Linked DNA regions of Ovis aries. The protein of the gene in region 2 purifies or fractionates together with the protein of the main gene of each other region. This does not show direct contact. Links are inferred from orthologs where the notes say so. Each region holds a gene or a part of one and is shown on either strand. Other genes may lie near its edges. The genes, in order: USP12, PHLPP2, NHERF1, WDR20, USP46, NHERF2 and WDR48.

What was found.
Region 1: the proteins of PHLPP2 (region 2) and USP12 purify together in Homo sapiens (affinity purification with mass spectrometry; 3 studies listed by BioGRID and IntAct, with this or other methods). This does not show direct contact. The link is inferred for Ovis aries from reciprocal best matches to the Homo sapiens genes PHLPP2 and USP12.
Region 3: the proteins of PHLPP2 (region 2) and NHERF1 purify together in Homo sapiens (co-immunoprecipitation; 3 studies listed by BioGRID and IntAct, with this or other methods). This does not show direct contact. The link is inferred for Ovis aries from reciprocal best matches to the Homo sapiens genes PHLPP2 and NHERF1.
Region 4: the proteins of PHLPP2 (region 2) and WDR20 purify together in Homo sapiens (affinity purification with mass spectrometry; 4 studies listed by BioGRID and IntAct, with this or other methods). This does not show direct contact. The link is inferred for Ovis aries from reciprocal best matches to the Homo sapiens genes PHLPP2 and WDR20.
Region 5: the proteins of PHLPP2 (region 2) and USP46 purify together in Homo sapiens (affinity purification with mass spectrometry; 4 studies listed by BioGRID and IntAct, counting the BioPlex papers as one, with this or other methods). This does not show direct contact. The link is inferred for Ovis aries from reciprocal best matches to the Homo sapiens genes PHLPP2 and USP46.
Region 6: the proteins of PHLPP2 (region 2) and NHERF2 purify together in Homo sapiens (affinity purification with mass spectrometry; 3 studies listed by BioGRID and IntAct, with this or other methods). This does not show direct contact. The link is inferred for Ovis aries from reciprocal best matches to the Homo sapiens genes PHLPP2 and NHERF2.
Region 7: the proteins of PHLPP2 (region 2) and WDR48 purify together in Homo sapiens (affinity purification with mass spectrometry; 5 studies listed by BioGRID and IntAct, with this or other methods). This does not show direct contact. The link is inferred for Ovis aries from reciprocal best matches to the Homo sapiens genes PHLPP2 and WDR48.

The regions. Positions count from the first base shown.
Region 1 is NC_056063.1:32,983,842-32,987,713, forward strand, and holds part of USP12 (ubiquitin carboxyl-terminal hydrolase 12), read left to right. Parts: intron 1-2,487; coding exon 2,488-2,564; intron 2,565-2,683; coding exon 2,684-2,767; intron 2,768-3,872. UniProt on the Homo sapiens protein: Deubiquitinating enzyme that plays various roles in the regulation of the immune response and inflammation.
Region 2 is NC_056067.1:38,911,932-38,915,803, reverse strand, and holds part of PHLPP2 (PH domain leucine-rich repeat-containing protein phosphatase 2), read right to left. Parts: intron 3,599-3,872; coding exon 3,452-3,598; intron 3,073-3,451; coding exon 2,842-3,072; intron 1,289-2,841; coding exon 1,086-1,288; intron 1-1,085. UniProt on the Homo sapiens protein: Protein phosphatase involved in regulation of Akt and PKC signaling.
Region 3 is NC_056064.1:55,979,545-55,984,184, reverse strand, and holds the start of NHERF1 (Na(+)/H(+) exchange regulatory cofactor NHE-RF1), read left to right. Parts: upstream 1-1,521; 5' UTR 1,522-1,754; coding exon 1,755-2,219; intron 2,220-4,640. UniProt on the Homo sapiens protein: Scaffold protein that connects plasma membrane proteins with members of the ezrin/moesin/radixin family and thereby helps to link them to the actin cytoskeleton and to regulate their surface expression. Necessary for recycling of internalized ADRB2.
Region 4 is NC_056071.1:64,661,362-64,665,233, reverse strand, and holds part of WDR20 (WD repeat-containing protein 20), read right to left. Parts: intron 3,790-3,872; coding exon 3,603-3,789; intron 2,594-3,602; exon of another isoform or gene 2,422-2,593; intron 1,009-2,421; coding exon 905-1,008; intron 1-904. UniProt on the Homo sapiens protein: Regulator of deubiquitinating complexes. Activates deubiquitinating activity of complexes containing USP12. Anchors at the base of the ubiquitin-contacting loop of USP12 and remotely modulates the catalytic center of the enzyme.
Region 5 is NC_056059.1:69,051,881-69,056,256, forward strand, and holds the start of USP46 (ubiquitin carboxyl-terminal hydrolase 46), read right to left. Parts: upstream 2,861-4,376; 5' UTR 2,718-2,860; coding exon 2,682-2,717; intron 1,828-2,681; exon of another isoform or gene 1,711-1,827; intron 1,441-1,710; exon of another isoform or gene 161-1,440; coding exon of another isoform or gene 143-160; intron 1-142. UniProt on the Homo sapiens protein: Deubiquitinating enzyme that plays a role in behavior, possibly by regulating GABA action. May act by mediating the deubiquitination of GAD1/GAD67.
Region 6 is NC_056077.1:2,105,669-2,109,540, reverse strand, and holds part of NHERF2 (Na(+)/H(+) exchange regulatory cofactor NHE-RF2), read right to left. Parts: intron 2,414-3,872; coding exon 2,234-2,413; intron 828-2,233; coding exon 674-827; intron 596-673; coding exon 552-595; intron 202-551; coding exon 139-201; intron 1-138.
Region 7 is NC_056072.1:12,379,875-12,384,205, reverse strand, and holds the start of WDR48 (WD repeat-containing protein 48), read right to left. Parts: upstream 2,834-4,331; 5' UTR 2,815-2,833; coding exon of another isoform or gene 2,767-2,814; 5' UTR 1-2,766. UniProt on the Homo sapiens protein: Regulator of deubiquitinating complexes, which acts as a strong activator of USP1, USP12 and USP46. Enhances the USP1-mediated deubiquitination of FANCD2; USP1 being almost inactive by itself.

The DNA.
Region 1 (3,872 bases), on a different chromosome or scaffold from region 2:
ACAGAAATGGTATAGACCTAACAGAAGCAGAAGATACTAAGAAGAGGTGGCAAGAATACACGGAAAAACTGTACAAAAAAGATCTTCACGACCCAGATAATCATGATGATGTGATCACTCGTCTAGAGCCAGACATCTTGGAATGTGAAGTCAGGTGGGCCTTAGAAAGCATCACTACGAACAAAGCTAGTAGAGGTGATGGAATTCCAGTGGAGCTATTTCAAATCCTGAAAGATGATGCTGTGAAAGTGCTGCACTCAATATGCCAGCAGATTTGGAAGACTCAGCAGTGGCCACAGGACTGGAAAAGGGCAGTTTTCATTCCAATCCCAAAGAAAGGCAGTGCCAAGGAATGCTCAAACTACCGCACAATTGCACTCATCTCACATGCTAGTAAAGTAATGCTCAAAATTCTCTAAGCCAGACTTCAGCAATACGTGAACCGTGAACTCCCTAATGTTCAAGCTGGTTTTAGAAAAGGCAGAGGAACCAGAGGTCAAATTGCCAATATCCACTGGATCATGGAAAAAGCAAGAGAGTTCCAGAAAAACATGTATTTCTGCTTTATTGACTATGCCAAAGCCTTTGACTGTGTGGATCACAAGAAACTGTGGAAAATTCTGAAAGAGATGGGAATACCAGACCACCTGACCTGCCTCCTAAAGAATCTATATGCAGGTGAGGAAGCAACAGTTAGACCTGGACATGGAACAACAGACTGGTTCCAAATAGGAAAAGGAATATGTCAAGGCTGTATACTGTCACCCTGCTTATTTAACTTATATGCAGAGTACATCATGAGAAATGCTGGGCTGGAAGAAACACGAGCTGGAATCAAGATTGCCAGGAGAAATATCAATAACCTCAGATATGCAGATGACACCACCCTTATGGCAGAAAGTGAAGAGGAACTAAAAAGCCTCTTGATGAAAGTGAAAGAGGAGAGTGAAAAAGATGGCTTAAAGCTCAACATTCAGAAAACAAAGATCATGGCATCTGATCCCATCACTTCATGGGAAATAGATGGGGAAACAGTGGAAACAGTGTCAGACTTTATTTTTGGGGGCTCCAAAATCACTGCAGATGGTGATTGCAGCCATGAAATTAAAAGATGCTTACTCCTTGGAAGGAAAGTTATGACCAACCTAGACAGCATATTCAAAAAGCAGAGACATTACTTTGCCGACTAAGGTCCATCTGGTCAGGGCTATGGTTTTTCCAGTAGTCATGTATGGATGTGAGAGTTGGACTGTGAAGAAGGCTGAGCGCCGAAGAATTGATGCATTTGAACTGTGGTGTTGGAGAAGACTCTTGAGAGTCCCTTGGACTGCAAGGAGATCCAACCAGTCCATTCTGAAGGAGATCAACCCTGGGATTTCTTTGGAAGGAGTGATGCTAAAGCTAAAGCTCCAGTACTTTGGCCACCTCATGCGAAGAGTTGACTCATTGGAAAAGACTCTGATGCTGGGAGGGATTGGGGATTAGAAGCGGAAGGGGACAACCATGGATGAGATGGCTGGATGGCATCACGGACTCGATGGACGTGAGTCTGAGTGAACTTCGGGAGATGGTGATGGACAGGGAGGCCTGGCATGCTGTGATTCATGGAGTCGCAAAGAGTTGGACACGGCTGAGCGACTGAACTGAACTTTTTGTTTTTTTTTCCTTCATGGAAATGCTTTTGATATTCTTTAAATGCTTTTCGTGTTGTATCGAAAAAGTCATCACAGACCATCTGTGCATGTGGAGTCACTTGGTGGTGGAGGGGTCCCAGGGACCAAGTCTGACGTCCCTCCTGTTGCATCCCGTCAAGGGAGGCAGCCAGCATGAGTGATGTGTCTTACTCTAGCTCACTGATTAAGTAGTAACTTAGATCATTATAGATGATTCATTCATAAATCAGAACATGGTTAAATTTGGAGGATAAATAAAAGAAGGTCATAAGTGAAGGCTCAGTTTGGCATGTTGGACTAATATTTTTTCTTAAATGGTAGTTTTTTTCTTAAATAATTAAACAGTATAGAGATCATGTCCTTTACCAGCCATTCTCATTCATCCTTGTCCTGTGTTCTTTTAAGAATTACTGTGTATGGCATAGTTTGTTTTATGCTTTACACCATGGACATGGGAGCCTGGCAGGCTACAGCCCATGGGGTTGAAAGAGTGGGCCACGACTGAGTGACCAAACCACCCCCAATACCAGGATTCGGGGAAGTGATGGGATTTCACATCACACCAGCCTTTGCCAGTAAGGAGAGCAGCTGTAGGTGCACTTTGGTATTTTCTTCTAAATATAATGAAGGGTATTGATTCAGCTTCCTTTTGTAAACTTGTATGACTCAAGTAGTTTCTTTTCAACTTGGGGAAAAAGGTTCTTTATATATTTAATAATACTGATAATAACCCACATTTAATTCTTTCACTTTGGAGCAGTAATTTACTGATACCTAAAGAAATCAAAGGTAATTAATTCTCTTATTTTTACAGATAAGCAGCAAAGATGAAGATTTTTTAGACCTTTCTGTTGACGTGGAACAAAACACATCAATTACTCACTGCTTAAGGTAAGCGTGGAATTATTTATTTTGACAGTTAATGATTATCTTTGGTTTTTAGAATATCTTTAAATGAATGCATCATTTTCTGGTACAGGCAAAACTAATTTATTTTGGATTTTACACAGGGGTTTTAGCAACACAGAAACTCTATGCAGTGAATACAAATACTACTGTGAAGAATGTCGCAGCAAACAGGAAGCACACAAACGGTAATTTAGTGTTTTCTGTAATTCATAGTGATTCTTTGGCCATGGATGTTCTAACCAAAAGTGATCTCTGGCAGTTTGCATTGAGTAATCATCCTTTATTTTATCACCAACTGTTAAGACTCATTAGGTAATTACTAGACAAACACATGAGGTAGTTACCAGGCAAACAGTGCTCAACTCCGGGCTGCCTTGACTATCCACACTTGGTGAGTGTTTAATCGCCATAAACCAATACAGTGAGAGGATTCTGCTTTGAAGCTTTCCTCGTTGTGTAAGCTTTCTCGTGGTGAGGAAAGAAGAGGGGAAAAGTGCTTTCCTCACGCCCACTCCAGTCTCCACTGTTCCTCCATAGGATTCACGCCTTCTCTCAGTGTGTCACCATGAGGACAGTACTCTGGTATCAGAAAATGGACTTATCATCACCCTGATTATTTTACTTTTTGTTTTGAGGCAGCCTCAAAGTCTTGTGAACAGTATACCAAGAATGCTTTTCACCCTTAACCATTTGAGAGTGGGTCCCTGCTGTGATGTCCCACAGTTCTGAGGCTTCGGTAGTGGTATCCTGCCAGCAAGGACGTTTCCCCTGTACCATGTCCGGCCACGTCAGGAGAGCAGCGCTGAGATGTTACTGTTGTTGTAGACCTTACTTTAGCATCACCAGATGTCCCAGTAATGTCCTTTATAGGAAAAAAGGGTCTAGTCCAGAGGCACACGTTGCATTTACCATTTGTGTCTCTGTCATCTTTTTATACTGGGAGCAGTTCCTTATCAGTCTTTGCTTGACTTTCACTCTCTTGACACTTAAAAATTACAGGTTAGGTATTTTACAGAATGTCCTCCTTTGAGTCCATCTCATGTTTTAATGTAATGAGGTTTAGATTTTGTATTCTGGGCAGGAATCACACAGAGGTGAGGCTGTGTTCTTTTTAAATGGTACACGATTTTGATACGTGTCATGTGTCGGGGCCCCCACGACCGCTCCTGGATTTGATGGTTCCCTAGAAGGACTCATAGGATTCAGCGTCTGTAGTCCTGCTCACAGCTAAGGTTTGTCACAGGGAACAGTGACAGGTCCGATCAGCAAAGGGGAAGCCAAGCCAGCTTC
Region 2 (3,872 bases):
TCATGAAAACAGAGGGCTGATTGTAAAGTTACACTTAGATTTTTGTCTAAAGGGTTTGTTTGATGTGCCCCTAAACCCTGCATTATTCAAGGACCAACCATATCTACTACTGAAAAAACTCCATGTTTAAGTACACCTGTACAGGGAACTTCTTGGTGGTCCAGTGATTAGAATTCAGCGTTTTCACTGTCATGGCCCCAGTTCGATCCCAGATCAGGGAACTAAGATTCCCCCAAGCCCCATGGCATGGCCAAACAAAACAAACAAAAAGCAGACCTGTGCATTTCAAACCTATGTTTCCCAAGAGTCAACTGTATAACTTCCTCAGTAAAGAATTCTCTATAAACAGAATGGCCTCAACAAATATGAGGCCTTTTACATTGAAAAATAGCCCTGGGGCAAATAAATCACTATTGAAGTGAAGGGCTTCTCATTCTGGAATTAAGGCAGCACAAGGTTTTAGACTAGAGACTGGTAATCTTCTGTAAAGGGTTAAGCATTTAGTAACATTTTGGCCTTTGCAGGCCATGTGGTCTCTCTCAAAACTACTCAATCATTTTGCCACTGTAGCAGGAGAGTGGTTAATATGCAAACGAACATGGGTGTGTTCCCATCAAACTTTATTCAATTAAATTTGAATTTCATATAACTTACCCATGTCAAAATTATTTTTCCTCTGATTTTTTTAAAAACCCAACCTTTAAAAAATATAAAAACCCATCCCTCAAGGGCCACACAAAATGAGATGTAGGCCATATTTACAGGGCTGCAGCTGGCCAACCCATGTTGCAAGACTATTACTGAAATTCTCTTTTGAACATGCTTGCCCACCCTAACATCCTAGCATTCTGCAAAATGCCTCTGATTATTATAACATTCATTTAGTGAAGCTCAAATAATCCTGCAATGCCTTTTTATGCATATCTCAACCACTGAAGTGCTGACTGCAAACTTAAAGCTAGGTCTCTATGAACCTCAAACTCCACTTGGCAGAGTGGCTGAGGAACACCTCAGATGCCACTGTTCTTGTATAGCTCAGACAAGAGCTACAAGAGGAAACACAGGAGGCTGGGTAGAGAACTCACTGTTCGAATTCGCGTAGAGAGTTCGAAGCGAGAAGCCACTGAGCGTCAGCTCCCTCAGCTGGTTCCGCTCACAATGCAGCTGCTCCAAGTTGCAAAAGGAGCTAAGATCTAAGTCAGTCAGCTGATTGTCCCGCAAATCCATGTGGGTGATGTATTTATTTCCCTCCAGATTCTCAATAATCATGGTTTTTAGACGGTTCATCCTTAATATTCAGAAATAAGAAAATCATTAGAAATAAATTCTACTAAATGTGCTTACCAAAAGAAAAAAACAGGAGAGTATGTTTCTCTTGTCTCTTTCCTAAACAACTTAAGAATTTTACTCCTTGCCTCATTGTGCAAGGTACTAGGTAAATAACCACAGATAGTTGTACCTTGGGTTCTTTGTCTACAAACTAAGTTAGAGACTGTGCAGATTGGCAAATACATGTACAAATTAAAGAGAAAGAAAAGGGGACCATGTCCACAAACAGTTAGCCTAAAACCTGCATCCAAATACCTAGTAAGGTTAGGCAGGGATGAAGGAATAAAACAAAGAAATGAGAAGATGAGCATAACCTTTGGGGCTGGGACTAGCAGGACGGTCATAGTGTAAGTATCACATGAGAGCAAGAACAAACAGCTACGCTGCCTCTCACTGCTCTGCCTACTGTCCAGTGCCAAGATTCCCATTACATTAATTAAGGGAGAGGAAAACAGTCTGTTATCTATATGGAATAGTTCAAGGGCAAGTAAAAGAAAACGACTTCTTTGGCTTCTTCTATAAGGTATATGATTTAATGCATGCAGGCTTATTCTCATTTTCCCATTCTTCAATAAATTTTTGTTACTACGTCTTTATGAGGGACATCAATGGCTCAGTGTAAATAACAGAACATTCAGTATGTGTGCTTTACTACTTTCGTTTAGGAAAAGATTACAAATATATAAGTAATTTTAGAAAGGAATAAAACTCTCATTAAAAAATATTACTAGTAAAACTGGTAACATTTCAATTCTAATATCACAGATATCAAGAAGAAACCCAAGGATTCAACAGAAAAATGGTCAAGTTTATTATGGAAAAATACAAACCACCAATAAGCATACAAAAAGACACTCATCCTAATTCGTAATAAATGCTGATTAAAATGATGAAATACTGTTTTTTACCTACTACACTAACAAGGAAGAAGACTGCTAAAATCCAACATTGGTAAGGATGAAAGGAAATGGGAATTCTCATAAAACGTTGCTAGGTGGGTAAGTCAGAACAACCTTCATCTCTACCACATGGTACACCTACCTCATCCATAAATCTCTCTACCATTAAGTGAAAAATGAAGCTTTACTATAGCTTTAAAAACATACATTGTTCTAAAATCCTAATGGTTTCAAGAGTCTTTATTTTTAAAAAGAAAATGTAAAGGAACATCAGAGGTTAGGCAAAAAGAAAGCACAGTGAACAATGACCAAACAGACTTCCCTGGTGATGCAGTGGATAAGCATCCACCTGCCAATGCAGAGGGCACAAGTTCGATTCCTGTTCTGGGACACATGACACAGAGCAACCAAGCCCGGGCACCACAACTACTAAGCTGGTGCTCTAGGGCCCACGAGCCACAACTACTGAGCCCGCATGCTGCAACTATTGAAGCCCATGTGCCTAAAGCTTGCACTATGCAACAAGAGGAGCCTCTGCTTGCCACAACTAGAGAAAGCCCACGGGCAGCAGTGAAGACTCAGTGCAATCAAAAATGAAAAAGAATGACCTCACCTCAAATCCACATGTTTGATATGGCTCATCCGGTTCAGCACCCCCAGGTTTAGCACTTCCACTCGGTTTCCGGCCATAAACACTTTATCTAACATAGTGAGTTTCTCATAAACCTCGGGAATTTGACTAAAGTTGTTGAAGGAAATTCCCAGGGAGGACAGCTGTTGTAGATTTCCCAGTTCTTCAGGTAAAGTAGTCAGGAAGTTGCCATCAAGACAGAGAGTCTGAAGACTGCAAGAAGAAACCAACACAAAACTCCCTGATGAAACGTTTTAATTGGAATGGATAAAACTAGAATTATGGATTTTTACTTGTCACTAATTTATTATGAGTCCAATATGATTAGATGCCCTCAGTCTATCTATAGAGATTTACTAAGATGACTCAAATACAGATGGTCCCTTTAACATCAAGGGTAGTCAGAGCCTCTGTGGTTAAACTGAGGGGATAGTCTCTTTTGTAGGCAAGTAACTGCTGCTGATTAGAATTCTCATAATTACATGATCTATTTCACTGCAAGAGCTGATGGAACTAGCTTCATTCCAAATACCAGACAAGTTCCTTACACTGCAAACAAAGGAAAAAAACCCAGTAAAAATCAGGTACTTACTTCAGCAGACTGCCAATCTGACTCGGCAGGTCCTGGAATCCATTACAGGAAAGGTTGAGCTCAGTCAGGGTAGGAATTTCACATAACAATACAGGAAATGACCCAAGCTTATTATGGGACAAGTTCAGGCCCTTCAGCTGAGAAAATCTAAAAAGCAAAGGCACATTATACTACTGAATGAAAAAGTGATGTTGTAAATGTCCATCAAAGAATTTGTTCTGCGTATATTTACTGAACATTCAGTATGTGTCAAACAGTATGTGTGGCACAGACACCAGGATGACTAACGCCCAGTCTGAGCTATCAAGGAAACCAGGTCTGGTGAGATGGGAGTTGTTCTCTCTTCTCCTCAGAAAGGCAAACTCTTGAAAAACTCACAGTGGTACAATTATTTTCTATCAAGTTGAATCAATACCATTAT
Region 3 (4,640 bases), on a different chromosome or scaffold from region 2:
TCCGGGTAAATCAATGCATTGTATGCAAAACAATGTCTCTCTGGTAAGATCTGGGTGGGGAAAGGGCCCACAAGGAGTTTCTGTGTAGCCAAGGTCACAGGTCTTCCCGAGCCCTGACCTCAGCCCTGGGAAGAGGTCAGGAGCTGTGCAGATTGATCTAGAGACACCTTTACTCCAGCTCTGTACACCAGGGGCCGGGAGAGGGGTATGTAAGGTATGTACTGCCCATTTCTCAGGCCGCTGCATTTGCTTTCAAAGCAGAAATCTTGCTCTTGGAGCAGAGTCAGCAGCTCCAACTCAGGCCGATAAGGAAGCTCTGCAGGCAGAGCAGGGAGGAGCCTGACCTTGCAGGGTTCTTCTGGGGCCCAAGGCAGGTTGCAGGCGATCCAGTCACATGGGCTGCTCTGGGCCTCTAGCATTTGTGTTTTTCAGCATTAAATGGCAGTATTTTGGAAAGTACACCCTGTCCACTGTTTCTTTGAGGTGGACATGATGCGGGGGTGGGGGGAGGGCGGCGGCAGTTCATGTTGAAAGGATCGTTATTGTTTGTCACTGACTGCCAAAATCATTTGATCCTCATCCTTAAATGCCCACCCCCCACCAAACTGGTCACCTCACCCTTAACAGACTGCCCCCAGCCTCTGTGACCAGCCTCTCATCTGAAAGTAGGAGCTGAAAGAAGGTTTATTATCTCACGGTCCTAATCATTTTACTTTCTCTGTTGAAAACGTCAGGGCTCCTTTTCCCCAGAGATCGGCCCCCTGACTGTGACCTGCCTCTCCCCTGCCCCACCTCCCTAGCCAAAGGCTGACGCCGATACACAGTTGCCCCTGGGTGGCCTGTCTTCGCTGCGCAGTCCCATTGAAGCCTTGGGCGCTCTGCTGGACCTTCACACTGTCCCAGCGAAGATGGGAGCCCGCAACCCTACTAGCAGGCCCTGCACTAAGCGCCCCACAAACTGGAAAATATTGTTATTCGAACCACTTTCTTGGGTCCGAGGTGGGCCTGGACCACAGTAAAACTGCGGGGACCACGCAGCCCCGGAGCCGGATTGCTTTTCCTAGCAACAGTCGCCCCCACCCTCACCCCCCAACTGGAGATGCACAGTTTGGCTGAAGGCTGTTAAAGCCTCAAGGTCCTTTACCCGAGGGTTGGCGCGCTCAATCCCTGATGCAGGTGGTGGTGGTGGTGGCGGACGGAGTAAGGGGGGTGGAATCAGAACCGATCTTGCGAGCCACCCAGCCCGGTACCAGGAACCCGCCCCGCACCCAGCGCCCCTCCCCGGGCCTGCACTCCGGACACTCAGTAACAAACACTTCCACTTCCTGAGCGCTCTTTCTTCTCCCGCCGCGGGGCGCCGAGCGGAGCCCGGAGCCCCGCCCCCTGGTGCTCCCATTGGTCAGGGTCCTTCACCCTGCCTGAGCGCCTCCGTGAGAGGCCTCTGATTGGCCCGCGGCGGTCCACACCCTCCGCGCGGCCCCGCCCCCGGGGTATGCGGCTCGGGCGGTTTCTGGAACGCTCAGTCGCCGCGCGGGGCGGGGATCGGTGTTTGAGTCCCGGCTTCGGCTCCTCGCTGTTCGCCGCCGCGGCTCCCGGCACACCTGCTCGCTTCTTGGCCCGTCCGGCGTCGCCGGGCTGCCCTGCCGCTCTCGCCCTCGCTTCCCGGCCCGCAGGGTGGGACGCGGAGCTGGACCGGCCCGTCTCCGGACCCCGACCGAACACCGCTGAGCGCCGCTGAGCCGTTGCCAGGCGAGATGAGCGCGGACGCGGCGGCCGGGGCGCCCCTGCCCCGGCTCTGCTGCCTGGAGAAGGGTCCGAACGGCTACGGCTTCCACCTGCACGGGGAAAAGGGCAAGGTAGGCCAGTATATACGGCTGGTGGAGCCCGGCTCGCCGGCCGAGAAGTCAGGACTGCTGGCCGGAGACCGGCTAGTGGAGGTGAACGGCGAGAACGTAGAGAAGGAGACCCACCAGCAGGTGGTGAACCGCATCCGTGCCGCCCTCAACTCCGTGCGCCTGCTGGTGGTAGACCCGGAGACCGACGAGCGGCTGCAGAAGTTGGGCGTCCAGGTCCGGGAGGAGATGCTGCGTGCCCAGGAAGGGCCCGGGCAGGCCGAACCGCCGGCCGCAGCCGCCGAGGAGCGAGGGGCTGGCGGCGAAGATGAGCCGCCGGCCGCCGCGCCGGAGCCTCGCGAGGCCGAGCAGAGCCATCAGGAGCGGGTAAGTGCGGGCCCGGGCCTCGCGGGGAGGCTGGATGGAACCGGGGGGGAATGAGAGTAGTGGGGAGACCCAGGCGCCCGGGATGCCCAGCCCTGCTCCCCGCCTTGTCTTTCTGAAACTCGATCTTCGGAGGCGAGACTGCTTCCGCCCGCCGACTGGGCCAGCTGGCAGTTACAGTCTTGAGGCTGCGTCCCACGACCCCTACGTCCCATCCCCAGGCTGGGCTGGGACCCTGAGCGCCTTAGGGAGTGAAGGTGAAGGAGGGCGGCTCAAGGAAGCCCAGTCTCCCTTTCCTCCACTCTGTTGGTGGCTGTCTGCTCCGATCCTTTGGGACCCCCAATTCCACCCCTCCTCCGAGTGGCCAGCTCCCTCCACGGGCCCCTGGGGGTGGTAAATGAAGCGGCCCGACTTCGAAAAGCCGGAGGAATAACCAACCACCCTCTTTCTTTGTGGAGCTGCAGCGGTGGGAGGAGAAGGGGAGGGGAGGGGGCCCTTTCGCCCCTTCCCCGCAGCCCGCTAGCCTGTGTATCATTAACTTCAGCCCGGTGGACTTCATCCTCCTGAAGTCCAGCGTGACTTCTAAGAAAGAAGCTCCACCATCTGCAGGAGATGTGTGGGGGCGGGGCTGAGGGAGGAGGTGCAGGGGCGTCTGGTCCGGGGGTGGTGGCAGCTCTGCCCCCAGGAGGATTTATGATTCTCAGGAATGTGAGGAGTAAGCTAGCTCCTATCTGGGAGCAGGAGGGAAGACCTTGGAGAAGTGGCTGGCTGTGGGGGTGGGGGGCGGGACAGCAGCCAGGAGGTCACCACGGGCAGGTGGTCTTGCCTGGCACCGGCTGTCTCACTCCAGGCCCTGGACAGCAAGCAGGCTGGTTGCTTTCTGCCCACGCTGGGTGTTTATAACCCCAGCCTGGATCAGCTGCAGGAGGGGCAAGGAGAAACAGGACTTGTACTGAGCCTTCCTTGCCCAGAGAGTGGGGGCGGCCTTAAGGTGAGACTGGAGGGAGGAGAGTCGGGGCCTCCCCTGGGCCTCTTCGGCTTCACCAGCTCTCCACCTGTTGGCAGGGGTGTCCGTGGTACCGGTAGGAGCCTCCCGTGACACAGAAAAGGCACAGTTCAGCCTTTCAGTTTGAAGGTGGAGCCCGAGAGGACCAACTGGTTTGGTAGAAGTGAGGTCACCAGGAGCTGGGAATGCCAAGGCCACTGGGTGACCACTTCCTGCCGCCGCCAAGCTGGCCTTGGCAAGGGTGGGGGTGGGGTCAGAGCACCCCGGCAGGGGGTTGACCCCAGGGAGTAGGAACTCATGATCTCTGGTCCCAGACAAATCCAGTTTGAACTTTGTGCCGAGGGCACCAACTTAGCATTCCTTTTTTTTTTTTAATGGACTTTGGCACTTGCACAAGTAACTCCCCCCTCCCCCGCCAAGTTGCAGTCCTGTTCGGCTGGCTCCTCCCACTGCCCTTTCGGTTTTGCTGCTAGGGGTGGGGGACGCAGAGGCCAGGATGGAGGCTTGACCTTCCACGTGCGCTCCCCCGCCAGGCCATCTGAAAAGCAGCAGAGGTTGGCTCCTGCTCTCTGGGCGACCACAGAATGGGGTTTCCCCCAGGTCGGGGTGTGACCCCTGCATCCATGTGTATGCTTTATCCAGCCAGTTCCTCCAGCCATTCCCTGGGACATCACCAGGCCTCTTGGGATTTGGGGTCAACAAGAGAGTCAGAATTTCTCTGAGCATTGGTTCTGCCATCGATAAAATGAGAGCGCTGGATTCCAGGGACACCTGCCTTCTCTAGGATTTTACAAATAATAATACGCTTGAGCCCCTAGTGGGAGCTGGACTGAGCTCCTTGTGCGCCCAGGCATTTGAATCCCAGCCACGACCCGGGATCTCCCTTAGCCTCTGTGTAGCCGCTCAGCAGTGTTAAGCCCCTCTGGTAGGAAATTCCTGTAAAGTTTGGTATGGTGGGCATGCAGGTGACTCACCCTGTCTTTCAAAAAAACATAAGTTAATAGCCACAAGAGTTCATTGTTCCCCAAGAAGACGGGGGCGGGGGCGGGGTCTGTATAAGGGATGCATACAGCTTTTGCATGTTATTGATTACTTTGAATCTGAATTAACTTATGGGGGCTGTCATGACATCTTCCTTAGTTCTCGGAAGTGGAAAAGGTTTTGGTGGGGAGTTGTCAAGCAGAGAGAGTGGCAGGTGATATCTCATTGGGAGGAGCAGCCTGGGTCAACAACAGTTCAGGACAGAAGGCAAAGAGGTTAGCACTGGTCTTGGAGAAAGGTGTAGGGTGCTTCCAGCCCAGCTCACGTCCACCCCGGGGAGAGAGAGCCACAGCACCCCTGCTCAGCTGTACTCGCTGAGCCATCTCGAGCCAAGTTTCTCTGAGCTTCCATTTCCTCTCGTTTAATTCAGGAGTGAC
Region 4 (3,872 bases), on a different chromosome or scaffold from region 2:
CGTCTGTAAAGTTCGTGGTAATAAACTATTGTAAATGCCCCTTTGCAGGCAATGAACAGATAGCTGGAGCCTTGGGAGTATAAACAGGGCTTAGTCCTAGACACGTCCAGGACGCAGCAGACCTCTCTGCTCCTACTGTGCTTTCTCCACAGACCTGCCATCTCCTCTCAGGGACGCGATTACTATCTACATGCTGACCACTCCCAGAATTCACCTCTAGTCTGAACCTCCAGATCCACAGACCCAACTACCCCGGCCTCGCAAGCTTGACAAGCGGGAAAAGGAACTCTGACCTTTCGCTCTGCTCCAGCACCTGCTCCTTCCCCTCTCACCCAGTGCGCCTAGTGAGCCAGAAACCCAGCATCTGCTCATCTATCTCTCCAACTCCGTCTCCAAGATGGAGCCAGAGTAATTTTCAAAAACACCACGCAGACCACCTCTGGCTCCCCTGTGCGAGATTCCCTGCACGGAGGCCAGGCAGCAACCGTGGCCAGGCCCTCACCCGACACCCCTCTCCCAGGGCTCCTGGCCCCGGGTGCATTCCCACAGGGGCTGCCCCTGCTCTCCCTCCTGCAGGGACACTCCAGCTCCAGCTTCGTACCTGGGGGGGCCTTCTCACGCGAGGCGAGGCTCAAAGCATACCACCTCCTCCGAGACATGCCCCACGTCCCTGTCCATCAGGCGCTGTGTCTGTCTCTCTCCCTCAGGCCCACTGTCTCCTCTGACATCACAAGTCACCACCACGTGCCGTGTGAGTGTGTGTATGTGAGTGTGTGTGGCATTGTTCACACTTCTCCCCCCTCTGGAGGGGAAACACAGGGCAGGTGTTCTCTGCACACGGTCAGCCACCAAGGTCTGCAGAATGAATGAGGAAATGGTCCCAACCCCAGGTCAAGTCCTCAGCTCTCTCCTGGACAGTCACTAGAGCCTCCTCACTCATCTTGCTATCTTCATTCCAATCCGCCTTCCCCAAGTGCTGACAAGAGTTCGAAAAAAACACACTTGATCCTATCACTTCCTTCATAAAGTAAAACCCCAAAGGTTGCCCCACAGCCTCCAGTGTCAGATCCAAATTTCTCAGCATGTCACGAAAGGCTTTTGCAATCTGGTTCCAGTTCACCTGTCCAGCTTCACCTCCAGCCACTCCAAGGCCCACGCACTGAGGTCTGGACTCCTTTGTTGGCCTCATGTTCCTCCACATGCTAAGGTGTTTTCTCCAGCTTCGAAGGCCCTTCTCATCCTCCTCCAACTCCTCTGCATCTTTCAAACCCAGGTCAAATGTCACCTTCTGCAAGCTTTCTCAAACTTCCCTCGCTGAATTTTTGTTTTTATTTTATGGTATCTGGTACATCCTGAAGAGTGCAATTAATACTCACCTCTCTTGCTACTTTGTTCGTAACACACACTCCACATCCTCCCTGTCCATCTCACAGAAGAGTGAGCTCCAGAGGTGACAAGGCCCATATGGCAACCAGCTATGATGGGGCTTCCTATCTATGGCCAGTAAGGATGTGTGGAATTAATTTCTGGATCTAAGCATATCATCAAATTGCTGCCGGGTCTGGACGACTCACTTGCCCTCTCTCTAATTCCTTGTCTGCACAGTGGAGACAACAGCCCGCCCTCTCGTGCAGAGAAAGCAGGTAAAATACTCGGAAACCTCCAAGTCTCACATGAATGCAAAGCACGGCCCAACAACTGCTTCGACCACCATCCCTGGCACCCTCTGAGAAACAAACCTCCAATGACCCTGTCTCTAAGACATCCTGACCAAAATCTGATGAGAATGCTATCCGTACGACAAAGAACACCCTCACTGTGAAGGGCAATCAATTTCAGCCTCGAGCTGTAAATGCCAAGTTGGCATTAAACCACACACAATCCTCTCTCCCTTTGAACAGCCACTTTCCAAATAAAATGTACAAGAGTAGGAGGTAACTCCGCTTCACTCCCTGAGGGTGGGGAGCTGCAGCCTGTGGCTCCTGGCTATCCTGAGTGAGGAATGGGGCGAGCTGAGGCGATCGAGTGCTCTCGGGGCCCTGGGGCCTCTGCTGCACGCCACCCCCCTCCAGCGACGGCACACAAATCCTTCTTGTTCTCCAAGAGGCATGCTGTGCCATCCACAGCCGGGCGGCCTCCCGACCTTGTTTACCAACCACCCTTTACATGGCTCCAGTCCCTCCCCGCCGAAAGCACGTCCCCACCTAAATAAAGACCCTGCAGGATGCCAAGTTCGCGTTTCTACTGAGAGTGCAGGCAAGGGTAGTTTTGTACCCCCACTCTCCCCACCACCAACCTCCCCCCGAATCATCCAGCCACTTAGAAATCACTCCCTCAGATGCTGTTAATAAAATGTTTAGGGAAACAGAATAATTTTCTGCTTAAGATTTTTTTTTTTAAACAGAAAATGGGATTAAATACTTTTCCTCTCTAGTTTGTCAATCCAGATGGCAAGTTTTGTTCCAGTCAACCCAGATGAAACTAGAAGAGGAGATAGCATGGTTCAAAAGATTTCACCAAATCCATTGGCAAAGTCCAACAGGAGCACTGTGGATGGATACTGGATATACATGGACAGCATATACCATAGGGACTGCAAAAGAATCAGAATTTTAACTGCAATTTGTCAAGTGGAGTATTCTTTCCCAAACAAAATTATTTTCTTAAAAGCCAGAATCTGTAACTTACTTCTGTTTCAAGTTAATAACTTTTAGACCATGCAACAATGCAAAACCTCCTGCCCTTCCCGACAGGGGCTCAGGTGACCTGACCTCATCACCCCAGGGCTGAGGTTACAAGGAGACTGCAGCCAGGGCCTCTAACTCAGCAAGCCGACCTCGTCCGCTCCATTTACTAGGAAAGTCACACTGAAACAGCAGAGGAAGTGCATCAAATATGTAACGGCAAGACTTCAGACTAAAAAGCCACTCCAAAAGCTTTTAAAGATGTAATCCGTCCGGCAACTTCCATCTGCCCAGATTTAAAGGTTCTGACATGTTTCTGAACAAACAGCTCAGATCTCTTGGGCTCCATCAAGAATGAGACTGGAGACACCAGGAATCCCAGGACACAGCACAACACAGGCAGGAGCTTGTGCCATGCCAGCCAGTTTCAAGGGCCAGGACTTCTAACCACATCAGAGGTGATTTTAGAGCAAACGCTTTCAAGAGCAAGAGAGCAAATTCTTAGATGTATGCCTGTCAAACACACACATTAACACTTTATCTACCGTTTGCGAAAACTAAGGAAATATTAGCAAGTTCTTTGATCTGCTTGAAATTTTCTGGCGATGTGAACACAGTTTAGAATTCTTTATCTTCTTATTTAAATTATAAAGATCAAGCCTTATCTCCATTATAAAAACAATTTTTCTTAAAACACCTGCTATAGACACAAAAATGCACAAAATAACAGTTAGCCCAATAAAGAACAGGTAAAAGTCACCAAGTTAACGCACCACATTTAAACTTGGGTCATACTAGGTAGGACAGCTGAGGATGGAAAATGGGCTTCACTCAAAGAGTAAAATTATAAGGCCCATACCCTCGGTAAGAACGTATACATTCTTATAGGGGTTCTTAACAGCTAAGACAGGGTGCTACTTACTTCCTCATTAAATAGTTTGCTAGTTTCTTTTTTGATTGGGTCTATAAGCTGGACTTGGCCTGCGGAAAAGCCCACTAGGAGAGAGACACTTTCTGCTGTGGCTGTTAGGTGGTTGAAGTCATGACAAGTAGGCTGTGTTCCTTTGTATATCCTTTTATCTATTGGTTTACTCAAGTCAGCAGCCTGGAGGAGAAAGAGAAAAATACACACGGTAAACAGCACATTGAGATGAGAACGCTAAGTTACACTATTTTATACTCCATTAT
Region 5 (4,376 bases), on a different chromosome or scaffold from region 2:
AAAAAAAAAAAAGACGCAACTGTCAACTGTCACTTCTTACTACAACTCCATTTGGTCCCAATGGAGTTTGGGACTGGGAAGGATCAGTTAGAGCCCCCCAGAGAGAAAAGAAGTGGTGAGGAGAGACCCACAGAAGACCTACCTGGAAACAATTCATCATTGAGTGAAGAATCTTAAGCGAGGTCCAATGAAACTGTATGTCTGAACAAGTGAAAAGACAGCAGTCTCATCACCCAGCCTCCTCTGTGGGAAGCAAGACTGGGAGGGACCAGGGCACCAGAGCAGCCTTTTATAAGGGGGCGGGATTAAGGACTCCCACCCCAGTCTCCCTGTATGGGCTTGGTTTGCATAAACAAACATTTATCTTAGCATTTATCTTAGCAGCTGCTTACATCAGGTCCAAGAAGACACTGTCCTTTAAACAACTGAAGATGACATAATAATGAGAAAGATGAAGCTGATCAGCAACACGTGATACTCAGTAAGTACTTGCTACCTAGTAGGCTCAGTAACTCCTTTAATACAACAGTCGCATGAGGAGGAACCATTATCATCCCCTTCTTGTAGATTAGGAAAGTAGGAGAGCAACTGGTTCTGGGACAAAAAACTAGCATATGTTCGAACCAAAACCCTGAACCCAGGAAGTCTGACTTTAGAGCCCAGACTCTTTATGTCCCTTACTCTAGGCACAGGGTCTATATCGGAATGTACAACTCCCGAGTTGTGAATTATTGGTTCCTCATCTCACTTGGGTGATGATCCTAAGTTTGGTGCCTTTTTAAGGACTTCACATGAGATGTCAATTCTCCACAGCCCACTCCTCTCGTCTGCCCTGCAGCTTGCCTCTCTAGCTGAGTTTTGTTGGAAACAGGTTGTGACATTCTGCTCAGGTGTGCCAAGAAGCCCCAGCTGCACTGAGGGCAGAAAAGGAAAAAAGCTGGAGGCTGGCTTCATCTTGGCACACGCTAGCTCTCAAGTTTCCAGCCTGCTTCAGTACAGAGGTGTCACCACAAACAAGCAGGGCAGGAACACCACCACCGACGGCTCCACTGCCCTGTAAGCCCAAAGCCACCAGAGCAGGCACGAAAGAGTGTTAGAGTTGCTCTGGTTTCACAGTTCCCCTCAGGAGCTGGTCTTAGCAGACAGAGAAACCGGGAAGAGAGGCATCACCTTTTCACTGCACCAAGCAACATTAATGCCATTCGACAGGAGGGAGCAGGGGGCCTGTCTCCGCATGGAGAAGAGAGGAAATGGAAACCGGCCAGGAGCCACCCACCACGTCTAACTGGTCCTGAGCCAGTATTTTTGCAGCTGTCACCCCGGGAAGGCCCAGCTTTTGCTCTGCCCACCACAGCAGTAGCCACGTCCAACAGCGCTGAAAACTGAAGCCAGCGCCAGTGGGTCTTGATTCCATCCCTGAGTAACACATGGCTCCTTAATGCTCCTTTCCCATGTGTTAATCTTGCAGGAGAATATGGGACAGAAGATTTGAAAAGCTGGGTGATGGGGGAAGGGCAGCCAGATCACCTTACTCCCAGGCTTTTCAATCAAGCCTCCTCAGATTCCCTTTAGCGGCCTGTGTTACTAGCTTGAGAGGTTTCCCCAAACTGGTATTAAAAGAGCATGTGTTCCATCCAGCTGGAGGAAGGGGAGACAGGATGGGGGTGGGGTGGGGGGTTGGTCCTTGGACAGCCAAGGCAAAGCACACACCCTCTCATCGTGCACAGGAAGGCAGTGCCTCACTCCAGGGGGCAAGCCTTGGTCCCCAAGGCTCTGACAAGTGGAAGTACCAGCAGGAGGCACCCTTGAGACCCAAGGGCTGGAGGTTGTTCCTGCAGAAGGCAAAGCAATGGGAGAAATACAAGTTAAAGTGATCACGATGTCGTGGGCCCCGTCCTCACCAGAGCCCAGCAATGTCCTCTTGCTGCGTCCACACCCACCGGTCCACACTTGGGTCTACAGTGACAGGCAGGATAACCCTGGAGACCTCCTCCATGCCCCCCAGACGGCCTGCATCCTCAGGACCTTTAAATGTCACTGCCTTATGACCTTGTTCCCCTTTCACAGATGGGGAAACTGAGGCATCCACAACAAATGACCGTGCTTTCCCAAACCAGGTATAAGTTCACTTCCCTGACCACAATTTTGCACTTTTTTTTACAGCTCTATCACATTTCAGATTTCTCCAGACACACCGACTGCCTCTGCAAAGTGAATCTTAAATACAGTTTAAAAGAGTGAACTCAAAAATCAGATAAGGGCGGTCAGGGTGTCCGGCAGGGCTTTATCTTCGGCAAGAACATGGTGGGCGTCCCCCGCGACCCCAGCTTCTCCAACCTGGTCCCCCGGGACGTCCGGGTTCGGCCTACCTCCTCCCCCCAAGACGCTTCACCGCAACCCGAGGGCGGAGGCGCAGCGGCTCAGGGACGCGCGGGCGGGCGGGCTCCCGGGTCTCGGGGCCGAGAAGGGGGCGGGGGGCTCCGGGCCCCTCCCCCGACAGCTCTCCGGGCCGCGACCGGCCCGCCCAGCCCGGGGGCCGGGAACTTCTGGCGGCGCCGCACGGCCCCCGCCGCCCCCACCCCCACCGGCCGCTCGGCGGGCGTGCAGCTCGGGTTTCCCATTCTTCGCCTCCCCACGCCTGGGGCTCGACCCTCGAGGCGGCGGCGGCGGCGACCACTCACCATATTACAGATGGAGGCGATGTTTCGGACAGTCATTAGTCTAAAGGTTACAGCGATCCCGCACCGCCATCTTTACAAGGGGAAAACAGGACCGGCCATGGTGGAGCGCTCGCGGGGAGGCCGGGCGCGGCGGCGGCGGCGGCGGGGAGGCGGCCTGGGGTCCGGCTTTCAGTTTGGCTGGGAGAAGGGAGGCCGGGAGGGAGGAGAGGAGGCGGGGAGGGCGGGGAAGGCGGGAGGCGGGCGGGAGAGCGGAGGGGCGGGGAGTGGCGGAGCGAGGGAGCCTGGGCCGCGGCCGGCGGCGCCGGGAGGAGGGGCGGCCCGAGCGCCGCGTGCAACCCGCACGCCCCGAGCGCTCCCGCCGCGCTCCGGCCCCGACCCGGCCCGGGTCCCCGCGGCTCCTCCTCCCGCCTCCGCCGGCCGCCCCGGCTCGGCTTTCCTCTTTTTTCTCTCTCGGCGTCCTGCTTCACTCCGAACCGGCTGGAAAGCGCGGCCAGGCCCCGGCTCGCGCAGCTGCAGCCGGTCCCCCGGGCGGACCCGTCCGCGCCGGCGGCCTCCTCCGCCCAGCTCCGGCCCGCGGCGCCGCCCGGGAAGCGAGACCGAGCCCTCGCTGGGTGTCGGCCGCCGGAAGGCGCAGCGCGCGGGCTGGGGACTCGCGGCCGCTTTCTGTCTTCACTTGTTCTTTCTGGCCGCGCGGCCCGCAGCAGCCCCGCGTTTTCACGTTCCGGCGAGTGGAGGAGGCAAGGGGCAGGGGTGACTACGTCCAACTTTTCGTTTGTCCCTGGGTTTCCAGCTAGATGGCACCAGCGGGGACCCACGAAGTAAATGGGGTCAGGACACGGCAGTGCCGAGAGCCCTTGGCCTGCCGGGTCGAGGGCGCCGGGAGGGGACGGGAGCGTGGGCCGAGGCGCGCTTGGGCAGTGGGTGACAGCAGCAGGTACAAAGGGGAAGTCTCAGTACTGGATAAGGACTAGGGATGGTCCAGGGAGCGATGGAACCTGGAAAGAATGAAAAACAAACTTTTCCGCGTCTTCTAGAAAAACCTACTTCACTCGGGGCCACCCAGCTTCTTCAGGTTTGGAGGGTCATTGTATTGGCTCATACACATTTCCTGCATACACAGTCGTGGTTTTTAACTCAAAGCGCGAATCTACACCACTTAGCAGTTACATTCTGTGAAGTGGAGGAGCCCATTTCCGAAGGTGTAAAACAGTTCTCATACAAAGTTGCAGTTTTATGCTTTCAACAGAGAAGTTGTACGAGGGAAACGCCTGACAGTTCTTAAACCCATATATTTAATGACAAATCGAATTAGAGGAGAAATTAATGAAATTGAAGATAGCTTTTATCTAACCAAGAGGAACATACTGGGAAAATAGCTCACTTCCTGTCCTCCATTATCTATTTAGTGTTAATGCTCTTTAGTAGTTGAAGACCATTGATTGTTAATGTCCCTAGGACCTGGGATGGAAATAAGACAACGGAGACAAAGTTTCGTTGGGGGTCATCTTGGCTCTGGATATTTAATGGATTTCCAGACATCAATTCCTGCTTAAGTTATTCTGCCTACATCTTATTTCCAAACAGATCCTGATAATGATGGTAGCTCACTTTGACTTTTTACCATTGTCAGTCATGATGCTCTTTACATTCATGACCTTGGTCACCGCCAAACCCATCGGATGACGGATCCTATTA
Region 6 (3,872 bases), on a different chromosome or scaffold from region 2:
TGGCAGCAGGCCCAGGAAGGCTTCCTAGAGGCGGCGGCCTCACGGCTCAGGCTGACAGCTCCACAGATGCCCGCCCCCAAGGCCTCAGGCCCCCCAGCATGTGAGCAGCAGCACTGGAGGTGGAGGGGCACCCACTACCTCAGTGTCCTTGTCTAAGCCGGGCAGGTCACTTCGGGACGAGCACACGGAGCCACCATTGAGCTGGGAAACCAAGGGTAAGGTGTGGCTTCAGGGGCCCACCCAGGAGACTGTGCACACGTATGTGCACACATGGACACAAGTGTGTGCACACACGTGCACACCCCAGAGCTGCATTTACTCCTGCATCTGGCAGTGGCACTGAGCCTTGACTGCAAGCTGGCGGTGCCCGAGTGCCCTGTGGGGTGGAGTGCGGCTGGGCCCGGACAGGACCCAAGGGGCCTTAAAGCTGGGAGTGACAGGGCCGGGCTCAGTGTCACAACCATGTGACACCAGGACTGAGGTCTCAGGAGGGGCTCCCAGAAGTGCCCCTGAGGTCCCCGAGCCCACCCTGTCTGCTCCCACCCTCTCACCTGGGCCGAGCTGGTCCCGTTGGTGACCGGCGATGGCAGTGGACCTGTGGGGACAGTATGTAACTGACCACTCGGGTCCCCGATGCTTCACCCCAGCCCTGGGCCCCAAAGCAGCCGCTCACCTTCCACATGCTCCTCGGTGGGTGTGACCCGCAGCCGCTTGAAGTGTTCATCCGTCTCGGGGTCCACCACCAGCAGCTGGGCCTCGTCCTCCCGCGCCTTGATGCTGGCCACCACCTCTGCATGGCGCAGCCCCTCCACATTCTGCCCGTTCACCTGCCACCAGCACAGGGTCAGTGCTGCCTGGGGACTGGTCCCCACCAGCCCCCCAAGCCACCCGGACAGGTGTGGCATCAAATATTCATCAGTGCCGTCACCAGCTGCAGCACCAAGAAGAGCACCAGCTCAGGTTCCCGGAATCTTCCTCCTGCAGAGGACCTGGGGCCCAGGCACACAGACGTGGATAGATGCACACAGACACACCTACAGGCACGCAGGTGCAGACACACACACAGATACACGCGGACACATACAGGTGCACAGGCACGCGCACACACGGACACACCTACAGGCACGCAGGTGCAGACACACACAGATACACGCGGACACACATACGGACACACCTACAGGCACGCAGGTGCAGACACACACAGATACACACGGACACATGGACACACCTACAGGCACGCAGGTGCAGACACACAGATACACACATACAGGCGCACAGACACACACATAAACAGACACACCTACAGGCACACAGGTGCAGACACACAGAGATACACACACATACAGGCGCACAGACACACACAGATAAACGGACACACCTACAGGCACGCAGGTGCAGACACACAGATACACACAGACACATATAGGTGCACAGATGCACACGCACAGATAGATAGACACGGACACACCTACAGTCATGCAGTTGCAGACATAGATACACTCGAACATGCACAGGTGCGCGCACACACATATGGACACACCTACAGGCATGCAGGTGCAGACACACACACAGATACACACAGACACAGGCGCACAGACACAGACATACCTACAGGCATGCAGGTGCACACACACAGATAAGTACACACAGACACACAGGCCTGCAGGCGCACACACATAGATAGATACACATGGACACACCTACAGGCACACAGGTGCAAACACACAGATACACATGGACACAGGTGCACAGGCGCACATGCACACACACGGACACACCTAAGGCATGCAGGTGCAGACAGATAACACAGGAACACACCTACAGGCACGCAGGTGCAGACAGATACACAGGGACACATACAAGTGCACAGACATGCATGCACACACACAGATAGACACGGACACACCTACAGGCACATAGGTGCAGACACAGATATACACGGACACACCTACCGTCACGCAGGTGCAGATACACAAGGACACACACAGGCACACAGAGGCACATGCACACACACACATAGACACGGACACACCAGGCATGCAAGGGCAGACACACACACAGAGATAGATACACATGGACACAGCACGCAGGCACAGACACATATACACACGGACACGGATAGGCAGACACGTAGGCGTACACACACACACAGGCACAGACACACAGAGGCACGCACAGCAGGACACAGGTACACACAGGGCAGCCCGCTCCCCGCAGCCCCAGTGGCAGGTACCTCTATGAGTCGGTCCTGGGCACGGAGACCAGAGTGGGCAGCAGGGGAGCCGGGGTCCACTGAGCGGATGTACTGTCCGGGCCGGGACTTGTCGCTGTGCAGGTTAAACCCGTAGCCCTGGGGGCCCTTCCGTAGGTGGCAGAGCCTTGGGCGCAGCTCCCTCAGAGGCCCGTTGGCATCCTGCAGGCGTCGGGGACACCTGGTGAGGTTCCAGCTCTGACCTCCTCCCATCTGAGAGATGCTGACGCCCGAGGCCTCCAGCCCACACCCACCCCACACCCCGCTGGGTGCCAAGGCAGCGCTTGGCCTCATACCCCCACCTGATGGTAGCCCCTCGTCTCAGAGACCCGTCCTGGGGTGTGGGGGTGCTTAGGCCACCTACGATGATCCAACTTTGGGATCTTGGACAAAGGCTTGGTTTCCAAACCCCCAGTGGGCCTGTGATGCGATCAAAGGCCTTACAGTGGGATTGGGAGAATCCACTGGGTCGAGGATAGGGCTGGGCGCAGACCCGAGCCGAGGAGGGAGCAGGCGAGGTGAGCTGCCCCGTGTCTCTGTTCCAGGAGGGCAGCCCCGCCTGTTGTTTACTCCGAGTGTGGGTCTGCTGGGGTAGGGCTCCAGCTTTGTTTACACTCCCACAGGTCTCCCTGGGGCTGGTGGCAGCAGCTGCAGCTGTGTTTGCCTTCACATTCCAGAGCAGCTGGAGCAGCCCCCATCCCCACACGCTGGAGCCCAGTGAGCAAGCAGAGGGGCCTGCCTCCCACCTGCCCCTCTGACCCCGGGGGCTCCTGGTGCCCTGAGGGTGCCCACCCACACCCAAGGGCCCTGCCTCCGTTTACCTCTGGCATCCTGCAGTAGGGCTATGGGCCAGGGGGTGCAGGGAGCCGTGCAGGCAGGGGCCAGACCCCAGGACCCCACCGGGGCCTAAGGCAATGACCAGCGCTGAGTGGCCAGCGGCCGCGACGCTCAGTCTAACATGGCGGTGGCCGGAGGGAGCAGGCGGCCAGCAGCTCAGGTTTCCCCAGCGCTTAGGGCTCAAATGTGCGTGCAGGGGCGGGGGTGCTCACCGGGGCCTGGCCTTCCACCTCCCTGTGTGTGGCCGGGGACACTGGGCCAGGTGGGGGGCCACACTTGGGAGAGCCAGCCTCCAAGCCTCCAAGCTCACCCCAAATCCCCCAAATCTGACTGTGGCCACCCTGCCGTGGAACCAAGAGTGCCCTTCCTTACAGGATGGTACCTTGCCCCAGCATGTGGGCCTTCCTACCGGTGGGGAACACCTTCCAGTCCAGCCTGGGCCCCTCCTCCAGGGGCCCGTTCCTGATCCCCAAAGAGTCCCTGATCTCCAAAGCCCCCCAGGAACCCCTGCTGCAGGCCACCATCTGCCCCAGAAATTCCAGGGGCTGGGGCTTCTGCTCCTCCATCCTCCAGGGGATCGGCTGGGCAGACACCCAGGTTCTCCAGGACCCCACAGACTGGGCCCTCTCCAAACACAGCTGCAAGCACAGGTGTGTGGCTCTGAGGCAACTCTCAGGCTGGGGCTGTCAGACCACAGGTTCCGAGGCTGGCCAGGGCCGTGTGGGACCCTGGACGTGTGACATGACCACACCTGGTAGGTGGACGCGGGCCCAGATGGCCGAGG
Region 7 (4,331 bases), on a different chromosome or scaffold from region 2:
GTGTGGAAATGGGACCATGCTATGCTGATTTCCTATTCTTACCTCTGGACATCTTTTCTTTAATATAAATCTAGCCTATCTTTCTAATTGCAAAGTAATCTACTATACGAAAGTACCTAACTTATCTGTCAATTGACTCTTGATAGACATTCTGATTTTTGTTTTTCACAATGACAGCATTCTATAACAAACATCCTCGCATGACAAAAGATAGATGCATATGTACTTTCATAAAACAATTTTTCAGACAAGGAATTGCTGAATAAAGGGAATGCATATTTAAAATTTTGAACAAACAGCAAAAGACAAAGCAGTGAATACCGTGACTCCATTTTAGAGTGAAAAAAAAAATCACCTAAGCTGAGTACACATTTACAAAGAAGTATGGAACACTAATTTTCAACCAACAACTCTGTCCTCCAGAGGACATCTGAAAATGACTAGAGTCAGTTTTGGTTGTCACAGCTGGGAAGGTGCCAGTGTCTAGTGGGAAGGCAGGATGATGCAAAACAACAGCCCTCCCACAATCAAGAATTATCTGGCCCAGGAGGTCAATAGCACTCAGAGTGAAAAACCCTGGGCCTAGATTATATCTCACACTCTCCAAAACAGTTTTCTGTGAAGAGTGGAGCACAATAATCATTTATACTTTTGTACTGTTTGTGGCTTTTGTTTTGTTTTGCAACGAACATGCACTGGTTTAAAAAACACTTTCATGATCGAAAGCTCACCCTTGTATTTATATAAAAATCCTTCTCTGCGCCTTCTCATATTGGTTCTATACCTTAGGGACAAATTCTGAAAGACTCAAACAAGACTCACTGAATTTTCTCGGCAGCCAACTGATAGTAGAAAGTTCTTTTGAATGCTCTTCCTAGGAATCAGTTTCAAGTCACTTCACCAATCTGACTGCTATACCTATTAAGAACAAAGCGCTAAGTACTGATTCCCAAGTTCCAGTTTTGCACTCTGATCGGTGAAGAGTGAATTTATCATTCTCCCTCATTCTGCATACCATGGCTCATAGTCAGCTTATTAAAACATTCAGTTTTACCACACATGCCGCAGCTAACTTATACTTTCCCCATCCTGTACTTTTATATTACCTTTTAAGTCTAAATCCAAGAAACTAAGACACTTGATTAACTCTCCTTACTACCCTAAGGAATGTAGGGCAGCACTGCCCTACCTTAGGGCAGTAAGGAAAGTTTTCTAAACACCAGAAAACAATTAAGTTACAATTAAGCTCACGTTTTAGTCAGGAGCATACATTCTCACCACCTGCCTTATGCACTTAAAAATCACCTTACAGGGTATGCTATTTTAGATTCTTGTTAATGTCACTCAATTCAACAAACATCTAATGAGTGCTGAGGACACTGTACTTGATCAATGAGATCAATAAAAGAAAGAAGTGAACTAGTCAGAAGATTTTATGGCCAACAGCCATTTCCTGGGCTTACCTCAATGAAGGAATCCCTTGTCCAGATTACCAAATATTCACTGACTTATATGTAGCACTACATACACGGCTGAGTTTTATAAAGAAAGCTTGGGTGCTACTTATTCCTGCACTCTTTCAATTCTTTACACATTTTGGGGTCCAAACTAAGGCTCAGTAAATGTTTAACGAGTAAGTGCACCGTACTATCCCCATTACAAACAACATACTGCAGGTAATCAGTAATACTAATTTTGAAGCTGCAACTCCAGTACTTTGGCCACCTGATGCAAAGAGCTGACTCATTTGAAAAGACCCTGATGCTGGGAAAGATTGAGGGCAGAAGGAGAAGGGGACGACAGAGGATGAGATGGTTGGATGTGGTTGGATGGCATCACCGACTCAATGGACATGAGTCTGGGTGGACTCCGGGAGTTGGTGATGGACAGGGAGGCCTGGCATGCTGCGGTTCAGGGGGTCGCAAAGAGTCGGACACGACTGAGCTGAACTGAACTGCAGGTAAACACCTGTAATAAGGCTTTTACTCCTCAGGTCGTCGAAAACAATAGGTAGCAATAACTCAAACGTACCCAAAACGAAACTGTACTCATGAAGGCATAAAGCACACACGGGAGGCTTAGGTAACTCTTTGCTTCTGAATAATATTATACATTAGAGAGAGAGAAAAATTCAAGGATGCAATGCACACTAAAGATGAAGAAACGGTGAAAATATTAAATTCCAAAACAATGAAAATTACAATTCTCCCACAAACACCGGCACACTCCCACATCGTTTCCACCTCGCGGGGGAGAAGGCTCGCGCATAAAAGGCGGCTGGGGGTTCCCAAGTGCAGAACCTCCTCAAAAACCCGGCAGGGCTCAGCAGCCACGCCACGCCCCCGCACGGGCCCACTCACTCAGCTGCCCGTCCGGCGGGCAACAGTCCCAAGGCCTCCGCTCCGACGCCGCTGGGCACAGGGCTTGGGAGACAGACGAGGGAAGGGGGAAGCAGGTGGGCGGGGAACAAGCCCAGCCCGACACCGCAAGCACTAGCCTAAGAGACAGCGGATGACCTACAACACCGAGCTCCGAACTGCGCGTCCAAGGATCCCAGTACTGGGCCTTCGCGGGTCCAGCCGGCCGCCCCCCGCCCCTTCTTCAAGCCGTTAGCGCCGCGGCCCCACCCCTCGCCGCCAGCCGCGCCTCGTCCTGCTTGCCCCAAGCCGCTACCCTGGCCGACCGCGGCCCGAGGTATCTGCTTGCTGGATGTAGGACCGGGGCTGCCAGCCACGCCCGGGAGGTCAACGAGCTAGCCTTTCCTACCTGCACTTTCCTCCGCCCTGCCGTGTTCTGCCGGTGATGGGCCGCCATCTTGCATGTTGACAGTCCTACGTCACTTCCGGAAGTGGCAAGTACCGGACGGATGTCCCGCCTCTTCCCGTCCGGTCGAGGCCTGGCTGGTGGTGTTCACCTCAAGGGCTGCTTGTAGCTGAGGCTGGTGTCCCAGTGGCGGTCCTGTGGTATGAGAGAAACACTTAAAAACTGTTGCGTGCATATAATGCTGCCGGAGAGAGAGTCATTTTGTGAGCTGAGGAAGCTATCCGAAACTGGCTCTCTGTGGGCCTGCACCCCGGCTTGCACTGTTCTCTAGTGCCTCCTCAGGCCCAAGTAGAAGAAAAATGCTGACAGAATTAATGCTGGAAATGGGGACTTTGATGGCACCTCTACCCCTTTCACGGAGGAGGCAAGGGCACCCCACTCCAGTACTCTTGCCTGGAAAATCCCAGGGACGGAGGAGCCTGGAACGCTGCAGTCCATGGGGTCGCTGAGGGTCGGACACGACTGAGCGACTTCACTTTCACTTTTCACTTTCGTGCATTGGAGAAGGAAATGGCAACCCACTGCAGTGTTCTAGCCTGGAGAATCCCAGGGACGGGGGAGCCTGGTGGGCTGCCGTCTATGGGGTCGCTCAAAGTTGGATACGACTGAAGTGACTTAGTAGTAGTAGCACCTACCCGTTTCAAACGTTTGTTGGCAGCTAGGGGATCCGGTATATTTACCATGAAGTACCTAAAAGGATGGAGAATTATAAACTGCCCTGAAAGGAGGTGAAGTAGAAGGTTTGGCAAAGAGGGTCGTCCCATCTTCAGGAGGCTCCAAGTACCTGATTAAATAAGAGAGAGGGAATTCCTTGGTGGTCTGTTGAGGCAGTCTGAGCAATGGTTGGAAAACAAGTTCCAGACATAGAGTATTTCAGGAAGAGAGTGAATTTGTTAAGAACAAAGAACAGAGACAACATAGGGACTGTGAGTGCAGAGGGGCTGACCTCCTGACAGACCAGGGAATGCTGGCAGTTTTTGTGGGTTAATAGCCAATTTTTATACTCTCAAGACAAAAGTCCTGCTGGATGGTTGGAGTTATTAGGTGGTTGGTTGGGGCGCTATAGAATATTTACTCAAATGGGCATCTTTGCCTAATTGGGAGTCAGGAAGCTTGTTAGTGATTATCAGGAGCTTTTGGCAGTAGTTACAAAGGGCTTGGTCAGCTTCTGCGGTGATCTTGGCTCTGGGCTCTGCTTCTGTGGTGCAGGCCTTGGGGCAGGTAGGCCTCAATCTGGTCCAGTGGTTGGGACTCAGGGCTTTCACTGCTGAGGCCAAGGTTTGATCCCTGGTGGGGAACTAAGATTCTGCAAGCCAGGAGGCTGAAAAACAAGAGAGAAATTGTCATAAGAAGGCAAAGAAATACACTATTTAAAATTGTTTACAGTGACAATAAAGTTCCAAATCCTGAAGCAACTGGGCCTCACACTAGTATCTGGTGTAAAGCATCTCTTATTCTGGGACAGTTAGACCTTTCTGACTGAAGATTTGACCTGAGGGAATTCTGAC